Linked DNA regions of Mus musculus: region 2 is reported to be linked to region 1. The links are microRNA targets in miRTarBase. Many come from high-throughput screens and were not tested one by one. Region 1 holds a microRNA gene; the other region holds the end of a gene's coding sequence.
Evidence for each region. The annotated mature microRNA mmu-miR-484 reads UCAGGCUCAGUCCCCUCCCGAU and lies in region 1 at 3,499-3,520, opposite strand. An mRNA with a match to its seed (bases 2 to 7 or 8) in the 3' UTR can be bound and repressed. Matches are read on the target gene's strand: a 7mer-m8 pairs with bases 2 to 8, a 7mer-A1 pairs with bases 2 to 7 and ends in A, and an 8mer does both.

Region 1 (5,372 bases):
GGAGGCGCAGGCCACTGGCCCGGAAGGCGGGCGTGGAGAGGGCCTGCTGGCGGCTCGGTACTCGCCGTGCCACGCACTCTGGAACATCCGCACGCCTCTCCTTCACACTGGTTGCATTTATCTGCTCTTGCTCTTGCCCAAGAATAGACAAAGGAGCAATTGGTCGGAGAAACCCGGGCATTAGGAATAGCTGATATTGGGTTACACTTGTAAGTGCCCTACCCGATTCCAAAAATGCTATACTAGCCCAGAATGCACAAAGACAAAAACAGGCATAGAGAACGACAAACTTCCGCCCAGCCCACAGGACCCTTGTTATTCCACAACTTTACACCCCAAATAGAATCTTTAACTGTTGTGGCTTCTTCTGAGACAGAATAGTTTAATGTGAAAGAACTTGACTTTGAATCCTAACTCCGCCGCTTACTAGCTATGTGTATTTGAAACAAGGTATTTAATTACTCGTGGATAAAATGGTCGTCGTCGTCGTCCCCCCCCCCCCCCCCCGAGCTAAATAAATAAGTTTACAAGACTTTGTGCAGTGCTTTGTAAATAAGCCGGGCAGTGGTGGAGCACACCTTTAATCCTAGCACTCGGGAGGCAGAGGCAGACGGATTTCTGAGTTTGAGACCAGCCTGGTCTACAGCGTGAGTTCCAGGACAGTCAGAGCTACACAGAGAAACCCTGTCTTGAAAAACAAACAAACAGGGCTGGCGAGATGGCTCAGGGGTTAAGAGCACCCGACTGGTCCCGAGTTCAAGTCCCAGTAGCCACATGGTGGCTCACAACCATCCATAACGAAATCTGATGCCTTCTTCTGGGATATCTGAGGACAGCTACAGTGTACTTACATATAATAAATAAATAAATCTTTAAAAAAAAAAAAAAGTCATCATATGGTTGCTAGGAATTGACCTCTAGGAGATCAGTGTTCTTAACTGTTGAGCAATCTCTCCAGCCCCTTGTTTTTTCCTTTTTTGAAACACTTTTCCTATGTAACTTGGGCTGGCCTCAAATTTCTGAGTATTCCCTTAGCCTTATTTTTCAGTGGGATCACAGGCCCAGCTAATAATAATTTCTTAACGTTAAGCCATTAATTGTTCATTAATTATTAAATACTATTAGGCACAGGTAATTTTACAACCTGGTGACTAAGACAAAGAATCTGATCTTAAAGGGTTAATACAGTAAACGGAAACAGAATTTCAGATGCCAAATGTTGCTGAAGACTATTTAGAGACTGGGAAGCCAGAGAAAGGCATAGTTAGCTTACATTTCTGGCAGTGTTGGCCTTGAACCTAGGCCCTTGGCCATGTTAAGCAAATACTGTATCATTCAGCTGTATCTCCAGCCTCCTAGAATTGTTTAAAAGATGAGAAAAAGGGTACAGGAAATCCAAGTGTTTCGATTTTGTACCTAACAAAAGGAGCTTCAGAAGGCTCTTTTTGACTCTTACAATCATGTTCTGTTCCCCTGGGCTACACAAGTAATGCCTCCTGCCCCCTGCCCCCTGCCCCTCTCCTCAGTTTTGTTGGTTGAACTCAATACCTTACCCACTCTAGGTAAATGCTCTACCACTGACCTATACCTTCAGCCCCCTTTTTTCTTTTCTTTTCTTTTTCTTTCTTTCTTTCTTTCTTTTTTTTTTTTTTTTTAGTCAAATTCCTTCTAAGATGCCCAGGCTGGACCTAAGCTCACCCTGTAGCCTGGATAAGCTGAATTTGTAATTTTGTCTCTACCTTTGAAGGAGCTGGGATCAAAGTCCTGGGCTACTGTAGTTGGCTTTGCTCTTTTTTTTTAAAAAAAAATTCTGTTCATTTTGTTTGTAGCTTTTGTGCTGTGACCAAGCTGAGAGTTTGACTTCTCTTCCTTTGATCCTGTCCTCATGGGTGGTAGAGGAGAACTCTGTTTAGTAACTTAGGTCTTTGGGGAGTTGAATCAAATGCAAAGTATCCAGTGAAACACCAATAATAAATCTCTGTTATCTTTGTTTCATAAATGTGAAGATTATTACTGAGCAAAGGAAAAAAAAAGGAAGTTGGTTTTTTTTTTTTTTTTAATGAGACAGGGTCTCTTTGTGCAGTTCTAGTTGCCCTGGAACTGTGCCACTACTTCTGGCAAAAAGTTGAAACCTACTTTTATTAAATAGTAGGTAGTGCTTTTAATTTTGTTGTTGTTGTTGTTTTGTTTTTCGAGACAGGGTTTCTCTGTATAGCCCTGGCTGTCCTGGAACTCACTTTGTAGACCAGGCTGGCCTCGAACTCAGAAATCTGCCTGTCTCTGCCTCCCAAGTGCTGGGATTAAAGGCGTGCGCCGCCACTGCCCGGCTTCTGGCAGACTTTTAAGTATAACTATTTTAAAGTAATAACCAGCTAGGACATTCTATACTGTGCCTACATTTAGATTATATTTTTTTCCTAACTTGTAACAGAAAGCAGCAAAGAGCTAGAAATTTCAGAAATTATCTTTCCCCCTATGGAATCCTGAAAACTCATATTTAAGCCAGGCATGGTTCTAAATAAAGGTTATGCTTTTACTTCTTGAACTTGTAGGCAACCGCAGGCAGATCTCTGAGTTTGAGGCTAGTGTACAGAGAGTTCCAGGGCAACCAGGGCTATCACACAGAGAAACCCTGTCTGGAAAAACAAACAAAAAAACCCAACTCATATTTAGGTCAAGTAAAAGTGAAGCCTTCAAGGCTCAGTGGGGTTGGGGATAGGGGTAGCGAGGATACAGAACAGTTTATCTGTTTAAAACATGAAGTATTTTTGATTTCACAAAGTTCTTATAACTTTAGCATCTTCTTTTTCGTGGCCAACCTGTCATCTGAAAAGTATTGGTTACAAAGCACTAGGTTTATTAAAACAAAACGTTTGCCAGGTGACACAAACTCCTTTAATCCTAGCACTCAGAAAGCAAGGGACTGCAAGTTCGAGTACAGCATAGTCTGCGGGGCAAGTTCCAGGCCAACCCAAGGCTACACAAGTGAGACACTGTCTCTGAAAAGAAAAAATAAAACTGGGTAAGGATATCATGTACTCTTAACTGTTGGTGTCAATATTCAGCAGCAGTCTTTGCATGTACTTGATCAGCACTGAAACTGCTATAGGTAGGGAGGACTTTGCCAAAAGCCCATTTGGCAGGTTTAACTGTTCTTTCTCCACTGGCCACTAGGTTGCGCTAAAAGATGCAGTGCAACGTGCACGATTTAATTTGTAAAAATAAGGGTTATCACGTGACGAGGCAGAGCATTAATACTTTATTTCACATTAATCTTCTCTCCTTAGTCCTCGCTCCCAAGACCTTTTAGAGCGGAACCCTAACAAATCCCATCTGGCAAGCCTTTCCTTGACTCCATCACAAAAGCTCCCTAGTTCTTCGCCTGGAAGATCCGTTCGACATGGCGTCATCAAACCAGTAGTGAGAACTCCTAAACTGGGGTTCCTGCTAAAAAAAATACGCCGCCAGCCCCCTAGGTAAGACCCTATTTTGAGGTTTATCGGGAGGGGACTGAGCCTGACGAGGCTGCAGGGCCGCGAGGCCCCGCCCCCCCCACTTCCCAGCGTGCCCTGCGCGGAGAAATACGCGGAGGCGAGGGCGGGGCGAAAGAAAAGACTGGGCGAGACTCAGGGAGGGGTGGAGCCAGAAAGGGGAAGGGAGGGACGGGGGAATGGGCGGGGCTACTGGAGGAAGCGACTGGGCGGAGTGGGGACGGGCTGGGAATGGGCGGAGAAAGGGAGCGGCCATAGGGGGCGGAGCAGAGGAAGGGTGTGGTATTATGGAGGAAGAGGTGAGGCAGGGAGGCTCGGAGAGAGGGGCGGGGCTAGTAGTAGAGAAGCGTATCGGTTTTGCGACAGGGGCGGGGCGGGGCGGAAGCGGAAGTGGAGGGAGCGCTTGGCGGCGGCGGCGGGAGCTGCGGAGTCGGGAATCAAAATAAAGGGCCTGGGGGGGGTGGGGGGTAGGCGGCGGTGTCGGAATGTGAGCCAAGAAGGAGCTAGTGGCTGAGGTGAGTCCTCTGTCAGTGCCGGGACTCCACTAGGGCGTACCGGATGCTCTGATCAGCAACGTAGCTGGTCTGGAAACGACGCCTTTTCCCCCCTCAGACTGATGCTTCTGGGATTGAAGGACCGGGACTGGGACTTGCCGAAGGGGCCGTGCGAAAAAGTCGCTCTCCAGTGCTCCCCCGGTCTCTTCCGAGGCGTTTAGTCCCAGCTGGCGCTTGTCTTCCTGCTCGCTCCCCGGCCCTCCAGGTGTCAGTAGCAACCTTCGCAGGATGTGCAAAGTTGGAAAGTTGAGAAAAAGGACAGTTGTGTGGCTGAGTCCCTTATTGTTTTTTTGTTTTTGTTTTAATAGCCACTTTGGATGCAGTTTCAGTTTCAGCCACCTCCCCAATTAATTCTAGCACGAACGTGGTGCTTTCTAGTTGCACTAGTATCTTTTGGACTTTCCAGGATCTTTCTGTTTTGCATACAAGGAAATTGTCAGCTAAATGGTCTTTCTTCACCTTCAGTGAGCTCTACATTTGTCCAGGGTCATTTATTGATATTTGTGAGGCACAGTTGAGTTGGAAGGTTGGGATACCGTATATTCACATACAGTCAATATTGTTATGGAATTTATATTCTATTGGAGAAAAAAGAGTCATTTTAGTTAAAAGGTAGAAGACGAGCAAATACATAGGACTGGGAGTTTGTGGCAGGGGGGAGGTCATTTGGGAAATAATTCATCCTCAGGTATCTCTTGTCACCAAACTACAAATAAATAAGTGAGGGGGTTGCTATGATGATTAGACTCACAAGAGATGGGCCTTATGTTTATAAAGATGACATGCCCACAGCAGCACAGATAGGTGGCCTTCAGAACCAACATGCAGGCAGTACAATGTTGCACACTGCATTCTCAGCCACTGTCTAAGTTGCTCAGAAACTGAGTTTCAGAAAGGAAGACTCTCTCACATTAGAACTTCCCCTGACTGATTCGGCTGCTTAAATGGAATTCCTAGGAATATTTGGGAAATTTTTAGGCTGCAGGCCACTAATGTTTTTCCTTATATTTGTTTGAACTGAGTAATCTGTCTATATATGCCTGCCTGCCTGCCTTGTCTATCTGTCTATCTATCGACAGAGTTTCACTGTGTAACCACAGCTGCTTGGAACTTGGCTGCCCTTAAACTTGCAGATATCCTCCTGCCTCTGCCTCCTGAGCTACCACTCCTGGCTCTTTGAGCAATATTGAAGGCACCTTGGTGTAGAAAGAGGTAGGTGAGCCTTTTGACCTGAAGCTAGCTATGAAACTTTATTTTAAACGTTTCTGTTTCTCAGTGAAGTGGTAGATATGGTAGTTCATTTTAGGATTTGGCTTTGAAAGATTTA
Region 2 (5,372 bases), not on the chromosome of region 1:
ATAGAATCGGGCTGGGTTGGATGAAGATCCTGGGCACCATTTCTAGCTTGCTGCAGGACCTTAAGCCAGAACCTACCCTGATCTGGGACGTGGACCTGGTCAGAAAAGATATTTGATCCTAAGATTGCCAGGAGCTGTATATTATGGATTTGGGGCCAGCGGAGGAACCTGCAGTTGGGAGATGGTGTTTGCTGAGAGTAAAAGTTAATGTCAAATTGTATGGGACAGTAGAAGCAGTCTGCGGCCCAGGCAGATGTGAGTGTAGAAGATGATAAAGTCACATTCCACCTTTAGAGACAATAGGAATAGACCCAGCACTGTATGCTTAGGGTGAGACCTATTAGACCTGACCAAGTCCATGTTCTTGACATCCTGCCAGGATCTCAGACCGGGGTGGAGGAATCGCTCATAAGGACCTGGATCGGGTCATGGACTACCACTTCACCACAGCTGAGGCCAGCACCCAGGACCCCCGAATCAACCCCCTCTTCGGCCACCTGGATATGCACAGTGGTGGCCAGTCAGGACCTATGCATGGGTAAGGCCCCACCTTCCCAATATGGGGGGAAGGGGTAAACCAGGACTCGCAGGCCTCTGACACCCCTATCCTATCCCCTGCTCCCAGCTTTGGCTTCGGGTTGCCCACGTCCAGGGCATATGCAGAGTATCTTGGTGGCTCCCTGCAGCTGCAGTCCCTGCAGGGCATTGGCACGGATGTCTACCTACGGCTCCGCCACATTGATGGTCGGGAGGAAAGCTTCAGAATCTAATGGTGGATTTTGGCCGGCTAGCCTGCCACACTCCTCGGAGGACCTCCTAGGCCTGGCAGGGGGCCGCTGGGCTCCACAGACTGCCACTTCGCTTTATGGAGCTTAGGGCCTCAGACAGGTGGACTTAGATGGAGCTGGGCACCACTCCTCCTCAGCAGGGCTCACTGCTTTCTACCTCCCGGCCTTGGGGGGAGGAAGCAGGTGCCTCTGAGGCCTCTGATACCAGCTCTGCTCTGCTCATTCTTGAGGACTCCTCATTTGACCTGCTGCTTATTAAAGTTTGCATTTTTGAATGCCCTCTTGGGCCCCAAATGTTGGGAGGGCAGGCGAGCTTTGTTTCTGCCCCCTTTGGATTCCCTAGGCCTTGGGAGTTAACCTGGTCATGTCCAGTCTCTGGCTGTCCTGGCACTGTGGCAGAAGTGATTTCAAGGTTCTTGCCTATTTGATTTGGCAAGAGTGAGAGTGACTTTGGCAACTTGGGCTCATTGAACAAGTCTTTCTGGGCCCCAGACGCTATCAGAGGCCCCAAAAGACTTAGCTTCAGGCCCGACTCTTCCCTTCCTGGCAGCCGTGGGTTTGAGAGGTAAAGGTCACTAGACTGGGCAGTCTGTAAGCCACCTGATTCCTGAGCTTGCATGAGGTTAAAAATACTGCCTGCCCACTGTGGCTGCAAAAAGAATTGCATGAGGTTATGCAGAGACCTGATTACCTCAGACAGATACGGAGAAGTTGTCTTAGGGAGGACCAGGGACTTGGGCAGAAAGCACGGTGACCAGAAGTGTGTGGAACAGAACTTTAGGTGAACTTTGAACCAAGAGTAACTCTCCCCGCTGTGTAAGACCTACGGACCTGCTTGGTAGGACTCCCAAAAGGGAGTAGGAGAAGCAGGAAAGGAAAGGGGAGAGGTCAAGGAAATGACTTGTAATGAGAAGTCCAGAGCTAGTCCACTGTCCCTCAGGTACACATAAGAGAGTGAGGCTCCATGGTAACCAGTTCCCTCACTTGACGCTGGGATGGAAGAAATTCCTACACTGAAAACTTTAGCCTTTCCAGGTAGAATCAAATGTACACACTTGTGGTCCTAGTACTAGTGATGCTTACATAGGAGTATCACGAGTTCAAGGCCAACCTGGGCTGCTTGGCAAAACCCTGTCTTAACGGGTAGTTGTCAGAGAAGAGCCTCATGTTCTAGTCTTTGAATGTACATACAGACCGGGGGTGGTGGCACACGCCTTTAATCCCAGCACTTGGGAGGCAGAGGCAGGCGGATTTCTGAGTTCAAGGCCAGCCTGATCTACAGAGTGAGTTCCAGGACAGCCAGGACTATACAGAGAAACCCTGTCTCGAAAAACCAAAAAAAAAAAAAAAAAAAAAAAAGGAATGAAAGTACAGGTTAACCACAGAGAGCAACAACACAGATACAGCATCAGAAGCAACAAAAAGCATCCGGGCCCAGCGACATGGTTCGGCAGTAAAGGCACCTGCCACTAAGGTATCTCCTAGAGTTTATCGCAGGAGAGGACTACGTGAGTCCTGCCAAGTCTTCTCACCTGCACACATGTAGGTTCATACTCATAAACACAATAACAGTAAGTAGAGGGTGTCTCAGCACAGCCCCCAAGTTCTGGAAAAAACAGTTGGATTTACATGTTAATCATGGTTGGCCCTGGCATGGGGACAGCATGGTGTATTTACTATGCCTAGGCTAGTCCTTACTTAGGAAGGACATCATCTGAAGATGTCAGGTGAAGTGTCAAGTGAGGTAGAAGCCTGGGCAAAAGCTGTAATGATCCTGAAGAGGGCTAGAGTGGGAGGTGTCCTTTGGTTGTATCTTCTCATTCTTAGGGTGCCGGGCACCTGGTATTATCCTGCTCTGAACTTCTTTACTGCCCAACAGCAAAGTAACCAGTTTTTCCTAGTGCCTTCTCTCTTATTTTTTGTATGTGTGTCTACCTGTGGGTTTGTGCTCATTGCTGTAGATGGCCTGTGGAGTCCAGAGGGGTTTCGAATCCCCTAGAGCTGGAGTTACAGGCAGTAGTGAGCTGCTTGCTGTGGAAGCAGAGCTGAGATTGTCGACAAGAGCAGTGCATGCCGAATCATCCAGCCAGCTTTCCCTCAGTGCCACACACAAAAGGATCTATTCTATTCCCAATGCCATCTCACATAGATACACAACGGTCAGATATTTCTTGGACCATAGTGTCTGAGTTCTGACCTCAAGCTGCCCCTCTCAAGAACTGTTACGAAAGCCGGGCATGGTGGCACACACCTTTAATCCCAGCACTCGGAAGGCAGAGGCAGGCAGATTTCTGAGTTCGAGGCCAGCCTGGTCTACAGAGTGAGTTCCAGGACAGCCAGGGTTATACAGAGGAGCCCTGTCTCGAAAAACCAAAAAAAAAAAAAAAAAAAAAAAAGAAACCTTATGAAAACTGATCACCAAATTATGAATCAAAGAACTTTCAGAGAATGTCTAAATGAGATGTTTATCCAGCCCTACTCTGACTCAACACACTGTTGTGTGCTACTGTAAAAGTTACCAGTGCATGCTGGGTACGTAAAACCATGTGGCAGGAGCCAGTCAGTCTCAACAATAGAGCGTGAGAAAAGGAGCTTTATTCCAGTAAGCCAGCTAAGGAGGAACTGGCTGGCATTATCATCCCTAAAAAACAAAGGTCTTACAGTGCTGCTTCTTTTCATCGACTAGTTCGCCCACAACGCAGTTCCTAAAGTAGTATGCACTGGGCAAGCTATTAAAGGTGTCCGGTGCCCCAATACAGTAATTAAGGAAAACACGTGTGTGTGTGTGTGTGTGTGTGTGTGTGTGTGTGTAGAAAGGTGAAGTTAAACAGCAAATTAGACATGTGTTACTCCAATTCATCTACCAATAAGTTTACCTTGAATGCTGCTATATAGCTTATATAAAGCTATGACTTAACCATATGTATATATGGTTTAACCTTTACTGAGTCTCAGAGAATTGGTATTCTGTACTTGGAGGAGTGTCACTACAGATTCTCCAGGCACTGTCTCCCTGCTCAAACCCTTCTTGGCTGGAGATGTTCAGTGGTAGTGTTTGCCTAACATTAATGAAGCTTCGGGTACAATCTCTAGCAGTGCATGAACCTGGTGTGGTGCCATCCTAACCTCAACATTTGAAAGGTGGAGGTTAGACAACCACTCAAGGTTCTCCCTGGCCACGCTCGAGGTTTTTTGTTTTTGTTTTTCAAAGATTTATTTATTTATTATATGTAAATACATGTACACTGTAGCTGTTTTTAGACACTCCAGAAGAGGGTGTCACATCTTGTTATGGATGGTTGTGAGCCACCATGGGGTCTTAACTCGGGACCTTCATAAGAGCAGTCAGTGCTCTTAACTGCTGAGCCATCTCTCCAGCCCCGCTACATGAAATTCTTAAGAGAAAAGAAGTTGCCGGGCAGTGGTGGTGCAGGCCTTTAATTCCAGCACATGGGAGGCAGGGGCAGGCAGATTTCTGGTCTACAGAGTGAGTTCCAGGACAACCAAGGCTACACAGCGAAACCCGGTCTTGAAAAAAAAAGAGAGAGAAAGAGTGAGTAAGTTTATTTTGAAGGTAGTTTATTTGGCACACCTGTTCTTTTCCTGTCTCAACTGGTTTTTGCTCCCACCCTGAGCGAGAGACGCAAATATAGAGTGGGTAGCATATAAAAAGCCCTGGGTTTTGGCCCCAAGCATCCCATAAAACTTAATTCAGTGATAGAGTACAACTGTAATCCCCAGGATACTGCTGCACGTTCAATGAATTTCAGGCTAGCCTCTGAGAACCTTTCTCAAGAAATAGGAATGCTCGCCTTTAATCCCAGCATTCGGGAACCCAAGGCAGGAGGAGCTAGGTCAGCAAGTGTGTAGGCAGCCCGGGCTATGTCACAACAAACAACTCCACAAAAATAGCTAAGTCCGGGTGTGGCGGTGCACGTCTTTAAATACCAGGACTCAAAAGGCAGAAGCAGGTGGATCTCGAGGCCAGTATGGTCTACATAGCGAGTTCCAGGTCAGTTAGGACTGTAATTAGACCCTGTCTCAAGTTGGGCCAATTTTTAGCAACAACAGCCACACGCAGTACGCACAAAACAAAACCTTGCCACGTCACAACCTCCCCACCTCCAACACGCAAGACTATGCCCGCCCCCACTGATCCGGAAATAAAAGCGGCTCTCTGGCCGGTCACTTCCGGCACAGCAATGGCGGCACAGGGAGCTACAGCTGCAGTTGCTGCAACAACTTCAGGAACTGTAGGGGAGGGAGAGCCCGGCCCGGGGGAAAATGCAGCAGTCGAGGGGCCTGCCCGGTCCCCGGGCCGGGTCTCTCCGCCGACTCCGGCGCGTGGCGAACCAGAAGTCACCGTGGAGATCGGAGAAACGTACCTGTGCCGGCGGCCGGATAGCACCTGGCGTGAGGGCGGGGCCCAGGGCCTAGGGGCGGGATTTAGGGAATGGGCATGGCCTAGGAATGGGCGCTCTGTGGGGCTGGGAGTCTTGGGGCCAGGGTGGTGACTCAGGTAAGAAGGCGGGATTTCGGGAGCTGAGAAGCCCACTTTGTAATTGGAGGTTGGAGTCAGGCCAT

Region 2: the mRNA of Bckdk is a reported target of mmu-miR-484. Seed matches in the 3' UTR shown: 7mer-A1 at 2,057-2,063.

The regions. Positions count from the first base shown.
Region 1 is chr16:14,157,778-14,163,149 of GRCm38, reverse strand. Mir484 (microRNA 484) reads right to left here and starts at 3,524; the gene lies at 3,458-3,524. It overlaps Marf1 (meiosis regulator and mRNA stability 1), which reads left to right and starts at 3,876. Exons shown (of 27, transcript NM_001081154.2): 1 at 3,876-4,006.
Region 2 is chr7:127,907,542-127,912,913 of GRCm38, forward strand. It overlaps Bckdk (branched chain ketoacid dehydrogenase kinase), which reads left to right. Exons shown (of 12, transcript NM_009739.3): 11 at 380-538; 12 at 626-2,123. The coding sequence ends at 770. Kat8 (K(lysine) acetyltransferase 8) reads left to right here and starts at 4,976. Exons shown (of 11, transcript NM_026370.2): 1 at 4,976-5,201. The coding sequence starts at 4,991.